Linked DNA regions of Callithrix jacchus. The main gene of each other region encodes a partner of the protein of the gene in region 2 in a complex. Links are inferred from orthologs where the notes say so. Each region holds a gene or a part of one and is shown on either strand. Other genes may lie near its edges.

The links. The genes of interacting proteins can lie anywhere in the genome.
Region 1: the proteins of DLAT (region 2) and PDK3 are in contact, whole or in part, in a crystal structure (PDB 1Y8N), measured with the Homo sapiens proteins. The link is inferred for Callithrix jacchus from reciprocal best matches to the Homo sapiens genes DLAT and PDK3. Residues at the interface, in NP_001922.2 of Homo sapiens: Ala225, Leu226, Ser227, Pro228, Thr229, Glu248, Gly249, Lys259, Ala260, Ile262, Glu265; in NP_005382.1 of Homo sapiens: Arg21, Phe22, Ser23, Pro24, Ser25, Pro26, Leu27, Phe48, Lys51, Val55, Asn373, Lys374, Ser375, Arg378.

Annotation. Positions count from the first base shown.
Region 1 is NC_133524.1:25,191,630-25,199,269, reverse strand, and holds the start of PDK3 (pyruvate dehydrogenase kinase, isozyme 3), read right to left. Parts: upstream 4,183-7,640; 5' UTR 3,990-4,182; coding exon 3,884-3,989; intron 1-3,883. UniProt on the Homo sapiens protein: Inhibits pyruvate dehydrogenase activity by phosphorylation of the E1 subunit PDHA1, and thereby regulates glucose metabolism and aerobic respiration. Can also phosphorylate PDHA2.
Region 2 is NC_133511.1:11,759,848-11,766,928, forward strand, and holds part of DLAT (dihydrolipoyllysine-residue acetyltransferase component of pyruvate dehydrogenase complex, mitochondrial), read left to right. Parts: intron 1-316; exon of another isoform or gene 317-419; intron 420-3,242; coding exon 3,243-3,405; intron 3,406-4,129; coding exon 4,130-4,266; intron 4,267-5,356; coding exon 5,357-5,486; 3' UTR 5,487-7,081.

The DNA.
Region 1 (7,640 bases), on a different chromosome or scaffold from region 2:
TTTTTTAAATTTCTATAATAAAAACTAAAATAAAGACATCTTCTATCTAGATATACCATTTTTTCACCTATCAAAAGTTTGACAATAATGTGGTAAAGGCGTAGGAAAATAGGGACTCTCAGAAACTTCAAGCAAGAGGGAAAACAGACAATGTTTATGGAAAGCAATTTGACAATGTTTGTCAAAATTACAAATGCACATACCTGTTGACGCAGCAGTCCCACATTTAGGAATCTGTCCTATATATACACCCGGACATGCATGAAATTACAATGCAGACAATAATTCACTGGAGGGAAGGTTGTCATAGCAAAGACTGGAAACAACCTATTAACTAGACATCAATAAGGAGAGTTGGCTAATAAATTCTGGTACATTCATATAACCAAATTCTCAGAAGCCATAAAAAAGAAAAACAAAGTTATGCGGGTACAGATATAGAAAGGTCTCTCTAAGGTATTAACCTCAAAAAACAAGGTACAGACAAAGGTATAAACTGCCATTTAAGCAAAAGAAGGGAGGCCAGTAGGCAGAAGTGGGAAGCAGGCTTTTACAGAAAAGTCCTTTTGCATCTTCTGAATTTGGAACCATGTGACTGTAATCTTAGGCCCCAAAGAAAATCTCATTTTAAAAAACGCCATCCTTTGCAAAGTACTATTGCCATTATAAATTTAAAAACCATTTAGAATACTTGTTATTCTTGCTATATTTGCTAACTATGTGGCAGGCTATATTTCAAGTCAAGATGGAGTTCAAGAAACTTTCATTATTTTAAAAGGCATAGAGAAATACTGCACATAGATGAAAGGGGACCAGTAGATCAGACAGAAGATCATCTGATGAATGGTGCCTAACCCTGGATATGCTTTAGAATGACACAGGGCTCTCCTAAAAATACCAATGCTCCGCACTCCACCCCCAGCACCCCCAGACCATTTACAACAAAAATTCCGGGTATGAGGCCCTGGCCTGAAAACCACTCATGTAAACACTTCCAAACAGCGGTTCAACAGAAGTCCAGAGGACATTTTGCTCCCCCAGGGGACATTTGTCAATGACTGAAGACATGTTTGGTTGTCACAACTTGGAGTGGGAAGTGTTCATGGCATCTAGTGGGGAGAGGCCAGGAATGTAGCTCAACTTCCCACAGTGTACAAGACTGCTCCTACCAAAATTACCTGGCCTGAAATGGCAAGAGTGCTGAGGTTTGGGAACCCCTGCTTTAAAATAAAATTGCTGCTTCTGAAGTAACCACCAGTTTGAGCTGCCACTTTTAAATATAGGAAATAATCTCCTTCTTTACTGATGTGCCATACACTCACATTAAGAAAGCTATTTACCAAGGTTGTAGCAAACTATGTACATCCTGCGTATCTTCTTTCTCTGGTCCCTGTCTAGTTACTATAGTCGAAATGTATGTCCCATTTGTAAAGTACCCATGGAGAAAGGCATAAAGTTCATAAATTAGCAGCCTGTGGCCCAACTTGATCCATCTGTGTATTTTGTTTATGCCAAAGTTCTCTTAAAATATCCTGAATTGGTGCCAATCAGCTGCCCCTTTGGAGCTAGCCATATACCAGGAATTTGTCACAGTCCTCATCTCATGCTTATCCACTGCCTGCTACTTGGTGCTTTCAGCATCCGAGTTGGCCCTCTCCCGCAGTTTTCTCCAATCATACAGGGACATGAAGCCTCTTCACTCCTCCTCTCTCCTCACCTTAAAAATATCCAACACCCATTCTGAATTCTCCAACTCCCACATCACTTGCCAAAATAGAACTGCTATCAAGAGACAGAACTAAGAGAAAAGTAGAAGTAGAGATGGCCTTTTTGCGACAACTTCCTTCTTTTAGTTGTCCTGTCATTAAAGATAGGCTGGTTAGCACCTGATTCATCTCTGGGTGTTACAAGCTAGCCTTGTCATTTCTAGCAAATTCCACTACAATGAAATCTAGCACTTCTGTGCACTTCCTTATAAGGAAAACATTAAATTATTATGCTTCTCTCATGACCTTAGTGAATCCCTCCGCCCCTCTCAAAATAGGTCAGAAGACTTTTATGGGAAATAGCTATCAAAAGATTTGGTAGTTTTCTTTAAGAAACCTCATGCCTTTTCCTTTGAAATCACAATTGTATAGTTGTGAACTGTGCTTTTAAAGATCGCCTGATACAGTCTACACGTTTTATTAATGAGGAAAATGAGCTCCAAGTGACGTTTGGTCACTTACTCAAGGCCACGTTCTGAATTAGTGGCAGAGCCAGGATAGAACATTTGTTTCCAGATACTGGCCCCACAGGTTTTCCATACTAATACTATCCCCCCTGTGGTTTTCCTACTCACTCAACATCCTTGCCAAGATACCTATTACCCTGGGTAGACACTAGCTGCTATGGAAATTTAACTTACCAAAATTTTGGCCAGCTACTGGACCTATCACTTAAAACTTTGAGAGTGGAAGGAACTAGGAGTTTCTGGATTCCTTTTGTTCCTTTTATTGTGAATTACCCTGTGTCACTTTATGTTAATGAAAGGCTGATACCTTCAGAATCTTCCCTAAACCATAAATTAAAGATGGAAAACTTGCCTATATTTATATCAACAGCAACATTTTCTAAACTCTAAAGTCAGAAACTGCCTCAAACCTCTATAATTCTCAAGATGGTAAGTAAAACTACCAATAGCTTTTGGGAGTGAAGTTTTAAGATGCAAAGATCAACATCTCATTGAACTTTGACTTTCATCATCATCCTCTGGCAAAGAGGTTTCTAAAATTTTCATTTGGTCTCAACTTTAACCTATTCCTCTCTTGCTAACCTCGCTTAAAAAAATAATAAAAGTATGGAGATCACTTTTTGCATATCAGGTCTTCCTCAAATGTTCTACCTACTCTGCACTTTAGTTTTTATGGCCAACTACACTATCACTGACACCTTTGACGTTTACATAAAATTCATTAACAGATAGCCCACTATTTCCCCTCAAGAGCGTAGAACATCTTGGCTGCTGGATTTGATTTTCCTTCAGGGATGCTGAGTTCTATTCTCATACCTCAATGCATGCGTTTTACTTTTAAGTGTTTCACAACCAGCTCCTTGGTTTTCTGAGGAAACGTGATCCAGTTAACAGAAGGTGTGGAATCTATTCCCATCTCAGCTAGGCCTGAGGCAGGCTGGGAGCCCGGATAATCCGTGAAAGCCGCCCACCAGCCCACCGGACAGGAAGAATGGGGTGGGACACCAAGTGAGAAGAGAAACGAAAGGTGTTGGCACTGAAACCAGAGTTGTATTAGACCCTGCTGATGCTAGGAACCCACGCGTCCGCTCTTCCCAAGCATCTACCGCGTGTGCAGTCCAGGCCTCTAATTGCTTTAACGTAACCTTATGAAGGCAACAGTTCGAGTCCTGCCACTCTGGCCACACTGTAACACTTTAGACCAGAAAAGGAACAAAATGCCACTGCATAGTCTATTCAACCTCAAGGTATTTCTAAACAGTTCTTACCCAGCCAAAAAAGAAAAATCTAAACATAAAAACATTGAAAAGCCACCCACATCTCGTTCTGAAGTTTTAAGGGCTGTGAGGTTTAGTGTCAAGGAGATTTGAAGTTAACGATGGTAGGTTTGGGGAGTCTCGCCAGCGATGAGGGTCCTGCAACGAGACGCGGTTTCTGTGTCTCCGGTAAGTCCCAGGCTCGGTGTGAGGGTGCCAGGCCCTGCCCCTCCGCGCCCCGAAATCCGAACCCCAGGAGAGCCCCCCCTCCCCGGATATCCCCTAGCCCTGCCTGCGATTCCCACGGGCTTTACCCCAAAGCCGCGGAGACCCAGGGTGGCAGCCCGAATGGCGGCAGCCCCGGGCCCATGGGGACCCTTGGCCCCGTACTCACCGAAGTCCAGGAACTGTTTGATGGAGAGCGGCGACGGCGAAAAGCGCGAGTAGCGCTCGATCTGCTTGGGCACCGGCTGCTTCAGCAGCCACCGGAACAGCCGCATCCTCGCCGGGGCGGCTCACAGACCCGCCGAGACGCTCGAGTAGCCGCAAGGGCTGGCGCAGCCGAGCCGCCAGGACCTCGCACGTTCGCTAAGCCCGCACCCCGGCCTCCGTCTCGGCCTCGGCACCGCCGGTGCAGCCGCCGCAGAAGCAGCAGCAGCTCCCGGACCGCCACCGGCCGCCCGCCGCTTCCCTAAGCTCCGCCTCGTTAGGCGGAGCCTTTTGTTGCACGTACGCGGCGCGCGAGGGGCTGCGTGGAGCGCGAGGGGCACGCGGCCGCGCGCGCCCTACACTGATTGGCCGCCACCGCCTCTGTGACGTTTTTTTATGTTGTTGCGGAGTGCGGCGCGGCGCCCTAGCCCCCCGCCCTGGCTCTTGGGGCTCAGCCCAGCCCAGCCCAGCCCAGCCCAGCAAGTGTAGCCGCTTTCGGCTCCGCCCCTGACAGGGTTCTCCGCTGCCTAAAAGGTAGCCGAGGTGCCCGCGGACTGGGAAGAGGCCGGGAGCCAGGAATTCGATCCTCCGTGCTGCTCAAAAGCCTTCTCAACCGCAGGCGCCTTTTCTGGGAGGAGGACTTGCAGTTCCAGATGTTCACTGCATCTTGCCACTTAGATTTTACAGCCTAACTAGACTGTTTTATGCCCTCCATCACTACTGCCACTTTTGGACAGAATTTAATGAAACCTCACAGGTTCTATTTTCTGACCGCTTCCTACCATTGGACAGCCTTAATTGTCATTTCACTGACTCTTATGACATGGGCCCCCCAGCTCCACCCCCACCTCACTCCCGAGAGAACACCTTTGGACGGGATTGTTAGGTCCCTGATTCTCTTGTTTCCTGGTTCCTTGCCCCTTCTTCCCACACAAGATAAGTCACTGGTTGCGTTTCATGTCCCCTCCCCACCACCATTGGACGGGATCCATTGTGAGATCAAGGGTCACTAACACCCCCCATACACCCCCAATGTCACTGGACAATATAACTGCAAGGTCACTGATTCTGTTTGATGCCCCCCAGCCCCACTACTACCATTGGAAAGAATCAAATAAGCTCACCGACACTCTCTTTCATACCTCTTCTCTACCACCAACACCATAGGACAGCTCCCTGACTGCTTCACAATTCACTACCACTTTTGGACAGGAGTCTATGCTTACACAGTGTTGGGTATTCTCAAGTAAACTTGAGAGCCTGGCATGGTGGCATGCACCTATAGTCCCAACGACTCTGCAGGCGGAGGTGGGAGGATCACTTGAGCCCAGAAGTTCAAGATCTGCCTAGGCAACATACCCAGACCCGCCTCTAAAAAAAAAAAAAAAAAACCTCAGGACTCAATATATGAAATTGTTATTTCCTATTATGAATGAATAAAGTACTGCTTGCTTTAGCCATTTCCACCAAACCTTGGCTTTTTTTTTTTTTTTGGCAATATGTAAACATAAACATACATAATTAAGAGGACGGGAAGAACGTTCTTTAAGGCAAGGTACAAATGTGACTGGAAGCCACTCCATGGGTCTTTACTTGGACTGGTTTCTCACTGAATGAGATTATTGGTGGGTAGCTATTTAGCTTTTGTGCCCTCATTGGATGTTTATGCAGCCAGTTCTTTGCTTAATAAAATAGTTGCATGTCTACTCTGAATTTAAAGAAAAGTAACATACATGGTAAAAGACATCCAGTGGTCTTCTAGACTTCTGGATTTTCAAGAACATATTGGTCATCTTGGCAGTGGTATGGAGACTACCATGTCTTTTCCATTCAAATCGAACCAAAGGATAAAAAAAAGACATACTAACAACTTCTTTAACCAGGAGTATTACCAGAAGAACTAAGCAATCCAGTTGTGTGCATGGGCAGGACGAAGAGAAGACCAGTGGCCTATGGTGTCCAAAGTGACTCTCAGGTGCTACCTGGAAGTGGAGCAGTAATTGGTGACAGTTGTTGGTGAGCAGGAAGAAGCTGGATATTTGTGGAGAGGGAGATTTTCTCAGCCTAAGCAACAAAGGGCTGATCTTTCTGAGCTTCCAAATCACTTGTTTCACTTCTTCCTTTTCCACTGCACAAAATGCTACTTAAAATCCATTCTGTTGATTTATTTAAACTTTTGTGTGCCTAATTTTATTTCTGCTTCTTCAAAATGTGACAAAGTTCTAGAAGTTGGGAACAATATGAAAGAACCCGATATAATGTAAAATGTGCTTAAACAAGGCTACAGTCACCTAGACTGTGTTGCAGTTATTTTTGTGTCAGATTAAGATACCTGATTTCTCTCCCTGGCATTTGTGACAGTCAAATCAAATTAATCATATCTAATATAAATACAAGGTATTGCACCTCTTGTATACAGCAATGCATATATTTTTACCTAATAGTTTCATGATAACTTGCAGAGTCCAGAAGTGAAACCAGTGTGTTGATAAATAGATCTTGATGACGTCTTTTCAACTCCTTGTACACACCAAGGTCTTGTGCAGACCCCACTTGCTGTGGCTCTCAAAAGTGAAATCCCTAGACCTGCGGCAGCAGCATCACGTGAGAACTTGTTCGAAATGCAAACTCGGGCCAGGTGCAGTGGCTCATGCCTGTCTAATCCTAGCGTTCTGGGAGGCAGAGGCCAACGGGTTGCTTGAGCTCAGAAGTTGGAGACCAGCCTAGGCAATATGGCAAAACTCGTCTCTACTAAAAATACAAAAATATTAGCAGGGCATGGTAGTGCACTCCTGTAGTCCCAACTACTTGGGGGGGGCTGAGATGGGAGGATTGCTTCAGCTCAGGAGGTGGAGGCTGCAGTGAGCCAAGATTGCACCACTGCACACCAGCCTGGGTGACAAAGTGAGACCCGGTGTACAAAAAAAAAAAGGAAAGAAAATGCACGCATGCAAGAGAGAGAGAGAGAGAGAGAGAGAGAAGGAAGGCAGGAAGGGAGATAAATGCAAACTCTTAGACCCCCTGCAGCCCTACTGAAGCAGATCTATGTTTTAGCAAGCAATGGGGGTTTTAAAGATATGGCCACAAATTCTTTGATACTCCTCAAGAGATGGAGCTTAATTCCTCTCGGTTTGAGTGTGAGTTAGACTTAGCTAAAGCTTCTAACAAAGAAGTGTGTGGCCAGATCTACGGCCATATCGCCCTGAACGCGCCCGATCTCATCTGATCTCAGAAGCTAAGCAGGGTCGGGCCTTGATAGCACTTGGATGGGAGACTGTCTAGGAATACAGGGTGCCTGCCGTAGGCTATATTAAAAAAAAAAAGTGGCCAGAAGTGATAAGATCTCACTTCAGAGATTAGTTTGTAAAATAACTGGGGTCCTACAAAATACCTGACCAGTACTTCTCAAAACTATCAAGGTCCTTCAAAATAAGGAAAGCCTGAGAAACTGTCACAGTCAAGAAGACCCTAAGGAGATATGACAACTAAATATAATGTACTATCCTGGTTGGGATGCTGGAACAGAAAAAAGGATATTAGTAATGAGAAATGTTTGAGGTGATTTGATCACTCAACATTGTATATATCAATACGTCACTATATACCCCATAGATATGTCCAATTATTATGTGTCAATTAAACAAATTTTAAAGGATGTTAGGTTAGGGAGAGATTTGTTAAAGGATACAAAGTTATAGCTATATAGGAGGAATAAGTTCTAG
Region 2 (7,081 bases):
CAGGCGCGGTGGCTTACGCCTGTAATCTCAGCACTTTGGGAGGCCGAGACCGGCAGATCACCTGAGGTTGGGAGTTCAAGACCCAGCCTGACCAACATGGAGAAAGACCATCTCTACTAAAAATACAAAATCAGCCAGGCATGGTGTATATGCCTGTAATCCCAGCTACTTGGGGGGCTGAGGCCAGAGAATTGCTTGAACTCAGGAGGCAGAGGTTGCAGTGAGCTGAGATTGCGCCATTGCACTCCAGCTTGGGCATCACAAGCGTAACTCTGTCTCCAAAAAAAAAAAAAAAAAAAAAAAAAAGAACATTCATGTCCTTTGGCAGCACATATACTAAAATTGGAATGACAGACAATTAATTAGCATGGCCCCTGTACAGGGATGATAGTCAAATTCATGAAGCATTCCATATATTTTTTTAAAACATTCATGATTCATAAGAGGATATCAAAATATTGCCATTTACAACAGTTTGGAAGAAGCTACTTCCAGCCGTCATAGGTAACTTTGAGATGTTCAAATAGTTTAGTGGAGGAAGTAACTGCAGATGTTGGTAGAAATAGCAAGAGAACTAGAACTAGAAGTGGAGCCTGAAGATGGGAATGAATTGCTGCCATCTCATGAGAAAACTTGAATGGATGAATAGTTGCTTCTTATGGATAGGCAAAGAAAGTAGTTTCTCGAACTGGAATCTACTGGTAAAGAGGCAGTGAACATGGTTGAAATTACAACAGGATTTAGAATATTCTATGAATTTAGTTGACAAAGCAACAGCAGGATTTCAGAGCATTGACTCTAGCTTTGAAAGCAGTTCCATGGTTAAACTGCTATACAGCATTGCATGCTACAAAGAAATCTTTTGTAAAAAGAAGTCAGTCAGTGGGCAAACTATTGTTAGCTTAAGAGGCCGCTGCAGCTGCTCAGTCCTCAGCAGCCATAACCCTCATCTGTCGGCAGCCATTAACATCAAGGCAAGATCTACCAGCGAAAAAATTGCAGTTCACTAAAAGTTCAGATGATTTTTAGCATATTTTAGCAATAGAGTATTTTTAAATTAAGGTATATACATTGGTTTTTTTGCTAGCCATTATGCTGTTGCACTCCTAATAGACAACAGTGTAGTGTTAAGTATAACTTTCATATTTTCTGGGAAATCAGAAAATTCGTGTGACTCACTTTATTGCAATATTGGTGGTCTGGAATCGAACCTGCAATATCAAGGTATTTCTATGCTTAGGTGAAAGGATTGAGGCTGTCTGTTCGTTCTAACCAAACACCAGTCATTTACTTGTTGATACAGCCATTCAACATGTATTATTGGATTCAGCGGTCAACAATATCGGGAACACTATCCTTACTGTCTCAACCGGAAGATGATCAAACAAGCAATATTATAATAACTTAATCAAGAAAGCAGTATTTGCTGTGTGACACCTTGGCGAGAGTCCTGTGATAATTAATGAGTTATACACTGTTTTTGTTAGAGCAGGTCCCCTGTGTTAGTTTGCAAGTGACAAAATTCTGCTCCAGCCAACTTAGGCAGATTGGGGATTTAGTACCCATTGAGCTGGAGGTCTTTGGAAGCAGAGCTGTGCCTTTGTGTGAAGCCTTAACTTTTTCTCGATTGCAGAATACCAGCAGGGGCCCTTATACAGACCCCAAGGAGACCGTGGATAAAATCCATGAGCTTGTGAACTTCAGTGGGAGTGGTGGGGAAATCACTTGTTTTTGTTTTTGTTTTTTTTTTTACTAACCTCTACTAACATTTAGCATTTCTTCCTTTTATAAATGTAGAGAACAGATACAATGTTAACAGTACTTGTGTCTGGTGACCAATAAAAATCAGTTATTTTCATATCACATTGTAAATGTATATATCTCAAAATATTATTTTGTTCATCCCTGCTTCAAAATGATAACCATTATTAGACCTGCACCAAGGTCTTCTTATTGTATGAATGCAGAAGCACATTTGTCGTAATTTTGCTTTTTGAACAGTTTGATAACTGGATTTCATTATGGTTTCTGTTTCTTTTGTTAGTAATTTGAGTATTTTCAGTGTTAAGGTATTCTGAGATAAGATCTAAATGCATAGGGTCACCTGCTGTAGAAAAGATTGGGACTCCTTACTTGATGACAGTAAAAGATGTGATACTGTGAAAAAAAAAGATTGGGAACCCCTGCTTTTATGTTCTTCTGAGGTACCACACTATGTGTCCACTTCTGTTTCTTGCTACAATGCAGTTGTTTTCCCTCCATTTTTCCTTTCATCTGCTCAGACTACCTGCAGAGACTCAACTCCAGCCAATGTACTGCCACTCAAAATCCAAGGAGTTCTAGTTGGTGGGGTTTTTTTCCCAGCTACATTCATGTGTGGGTCAAGGCAGATGGTTTTTTGTTGTTGTTGTTGTTGTTTTTTGGTGGGGCGAGGGCAGGTGGTGGTTGGGGACAGAGTCTTGCTCTGCTGCCCAGGCAGGAGTACAGTGGCACGATCTCAGCTCATTGCAAACTCCACCTCCCAGGTTCAAGCAATTCTCCTGCTTCAGCCTCCTGAGTAGCTGGGACTACAGGTGTGCACCACCATGCCCAGCTAGCTTTTGTATTTTTAGTAGAGACAGAGTTTTGCCATGTTGGCCAGCCTGGTCTCAAACTCCTGACTTCAAATGATCCACCTGCCTTGGCCTCCCAAAGTGCTGGGATTACAGGCATGAACCATTGTTCCCAGCCCTCTGATTCATTTTAATTTTAATTTTTTTTTTTTTGAGACGGAGTTTCGCTGTTGTTACCCAGACTGGAGTGCAATGGCAGGATCTCGGCTCACCGCAACCTCCGCCTCTTGGGTTCAAGCAATTCTGCCTCAGCCTCCCGAGTAGCTGAGACTACAGGCGCACACCACCATGCCCAGCTAATTTTTGTATTTTTAGTAGAGACGAGATTTCACCTTGTTGACCAGGATGGTCTCGATCTCTTGACCTTGTGATCCACCTGCCTCGGCCTCCCAAAGTGCCGGGATTATAGGCGTGAGCCACTGCGCCCGGCCTGATTCATTTTTAATAACTGAAAGTCAAGGAGAGGGGACAACAAAATGTAAAAATTAGGATAGATATCATCTTTGGCTAAACAGTAACAGACACATTGGTTGAAAAAGTTTTGGAAGTAAATAATATTCTTGTTAACCTGGCACATAAGCTCTTAATAAACACTTTTTGATTATTTCTATTTCTTTTTCTTTTAAACAGAAATCATGTTGTTGATGTCAGTGTTGCAGTCAGTACCCCTGCAGGACTCATCACCCCTATTGTGTTTAATGCACATACGAAAGGACTGGAAACCATTGCTAATGATGTTATTTCTTTAGCAAGCAAAGCAAGAGAGGGTAAACTGCAGCCACACGAATTCCAGGTACAGTATTAATTATTGCTTTCTAATTACATTATTTTTAAGGTTTGCATAATGCATTTATTGCATTTTTCACCTTTTGATTCTGCCACATAATTATTTTTATTTTTTAATTTTTTGAGACAGCGTCTAACTCTTGTCATCTAGGCTGGAGTGCAGTGGTGTAATCTCGGCTCACTGCAACCTCCACCTCCCAGGTTCAAGTAATTCTCCTGCCTCAGCCTCCTGAGTAGCTGGGATTACAGGCACATGCCACCACACCTGGCTAATTTTTTTGTGTGTTTATTTTTAGCAGAGATGGGGTTTTGATCTGAAGAGAAACCAGAGTATTCATAGAAATAGGGTTTCACTGTGTTGGCCAGGCTGGTCTTGAACTCCTGACCTCAAATGATCCACCCACCTCAGCCTCCCAAAATGCTGGGATTACAGGTGTGGGCCACCACGCCTGGCCTGCCGTGTAATTCTTACTGACACACGGTTCTGAAAATAAAATCTCAAACTCTATTGCATATACAAAAGGAGACATTGTCTGATAATAAGACATTTTCCAGGTGACTTTTTTGTTCATATTGTAATGCTTGTATATTTTCAGTACTGTGTATCCCATTCAGGCCTTTCCTAAGACCTTGCACCTTTTTAGCTTAAAGTCTTTTCACAGAACATTTGTCATGTTTTCTGATTTATGTTGACAAACAGTGTAATCTATTTTTAATATTTTTTCCTCTAGGGCGGCACTTTTACGATCTCCAATCTAGGAATGTTTGGAATTAAGAATTTCTCTGCTATTATTAACCCACCTCAAGCATGTATTTTGGCAATTGGTGCTTCAGAGGATAAACTGGTTCCAGCAGATAATGAAAAAGGGTAAGTGCCAAACTGGAGGGGAAGTCATAAGCTAATTTTCATTACATTATACACTTGTCCTGTGGCATCTTCAGGATTGGCTCTAGGAACCCTCAAATACCACAGTTCACAATGCGTAAGTCCCTGACATCAGATGATGTAGTGTTTGCATATAACCTACACATCCTTCTGTATACTTTAATCTCTGCATATCATACAACACTGAATAGCACTTCATTCATGTGGATCCTCTAGTACCCAGGATGCAGCAAATTCAAGGTTTGCTTACTGGAAATTTGTGGAATTGTTTACTTTTCAGAAATTTGGGTCCATGGTCAGTTTATGGATTTGGAACCCATGGATAGATATATGGAGGGCCAACCATACCTATTTTTGAGTATCAGTGTTTTTGTTTGTTTGTTTGAGATGGAGTCTCAATCACTCTGTCACCCAGATGGGAGTGCAGTGGTGCCATCTCAGCTCACTGCAATCTCCACCTCCCAGGTTTAAGAAATTCTCTGGCCTCAGCCTCCTGAATAGTTGGGATTACAGGCATGCACTACCATGCTTTGGCTAATTTTTGTATTTTAGTAGACATGGGGTGGGGTTTCACCACGTTGGCCAGGCTGATCTTGAACTCCTGACCTCAAGTGATCTGCTCGCCTTGGCTTCCCAAACTGCTGGGATAACAGGAATGAGCCACCGTGCCCAGCCAGAGTTTCATTTTTTGAGGTGGAAAGCCTTTATCCTAGGTGAGGAGTCAGCATGCTTTTTCTTAGTCGTAAGTAAGTATTTTAGGCTTTCTGAGACATATGGCCTCTGTTGCATTGTCATGTGAAAGAAGGCATAAACAATACATAAATGAATTGCAGTAAACCTTTACTTATAAAAACTTAGAGGGCAGGATTTGGCTCATTGCCCACCTATACTGCAGGTATATGGTCTGTTTCTTCAAGCTATTAATTTGAGCTAAAGGTATAGGAGACTGGAAGAGTAGATACGAAATATTGCCTGGTTGGGATTTGAAGGTAAGAGTGAGCATTTGGGTGGTTACTGGCTGAAATGCAGTCTTTTCTTTCAGAATATCTAAAATGTTTTTATCTTTTTCCAGGTTCGATGTGGCTAGCATGATGTCTGTTACACTCAGTTGTGATCACCGGGTGGTGGATGGAGCAGTTGGAGCCCAGTGGCTTGCTGAGTTTAGAAAGTACCTTGAAAAACCTATCACCATGTTGTTGTAACTAACTCAAGAATTTCTAAACTCTCCCAGGTCACACTCATTCATTCTTATCAAGATATTTATATGTTATTAAACAGGTGGTTTTTATTTTAAAGTTAAGCAGTTATTTTTATTATTGAGTCTGTCCAGATAAGTTATTTATAATGGGCATTACTGAATTTTTAAAATGCCAATTACACCCAAATATTGTGCACATTTAATAATCAGACACCAGATTTTTAGCTGTATACTCCTAGTTAAGGGACATGTGGACTTGCCTAGCCCTTTGGTGATAAGTACATCTACTAGGAAATGTAGGATAGGTAGGATTGTGGTTCCCTAAAGACAAGTACATAAAGGTAACCTGGGTGAAACCTTGAAGTTCTGAAACTTAATTTCCTAAAATGTTCTCCTTAAGATGTGAGAGAAAGAGAAATCAGGAAAATTAGTTCTCTTGGAGGAAGGGCTTGAATTGAAGCTTTACTTTAGAATTTAACCTTGGTTTAAAATTTTCCATTACATGATCTTTGTTTACCATGAATGGGAAGGGTAGAAAACTTCAAGGAAAATAAGTGAAATTTTAAGAGTCAACATTTTCTTAGAGGTCTTCAGCTGATTGTTTATTTTTCTATAACCTGTACATGGTTGTTTCCCCCCTTGAGATAATGATCTAAATATAAACAAGCTACCTGATATGAGAATTTGTGTGATTTATTTAAACAAATGTGTAATTTTGAGTACAGAATTCAACTGTTACCTCCAAAAAAGAAACATTTTTAATAGAATTTAACAGAAGATGTGAAACTAGAATTTTCCCTCTAAGATTAATGGGAAACTCATTGTAAATGAACCTAATTAACAGAATTTATTACTCCACTCTGGAAAATGCTGTCAGATAACTAAGGAATATATATGGAATAAATGTACATATGTAAAATATGGTTACTAGAGTTAGAAATGTGCCAAAGTCCATTTATCCCAAATCCTATCTGTAAAGAAGAGGAGGGGTACATTGGTAAACATTTTAGAGTGCTTAAAAATGCCAAAAACAAAATGGTAATTTCTACTTGGGTAAAGTAAAAAAAAAAGTGAAATGTGTGTAAAAAAGTGTTTTGTGTCTTTCTACTCCAGCATCGTCTCATTTAAAGGAAGAAAGCCCTAAAACACTATTGCAGAGAAAATATTAACTAGGTTGCTACCTTAATTAGCCTAAATTCTTTTTTGCGTTTTGTTAGATTTTGCCTTTCTTTTGGAAGGAATGAAGGAGGATATTCAGGATTATAAAAATGAATTGGGAACATTATCACAATTCCAGACTTTCTATTAATATTTATATGTTTTAATAAACATTCAAAATTATTTATGACTACTTAAAATGAATCTGACCAGTGCTTCCTTGTATATGTAACTGGGGAGTTATCCCCTGAAATTTGCTTTAAGTGTTTCAGTGTTGAATTTGTTTCTAAATATTCATTATTACATGGTGCACAAGTGACACTCCATATATTCCAGGCTTTTACCTTGCTGTATTATTGTAAAAACAATACATTAATCTGATTTTTCAGTAATTAGTAATTTTAGGTTGAAGATTATCTAAAAGAAACAAGCTTATCACAA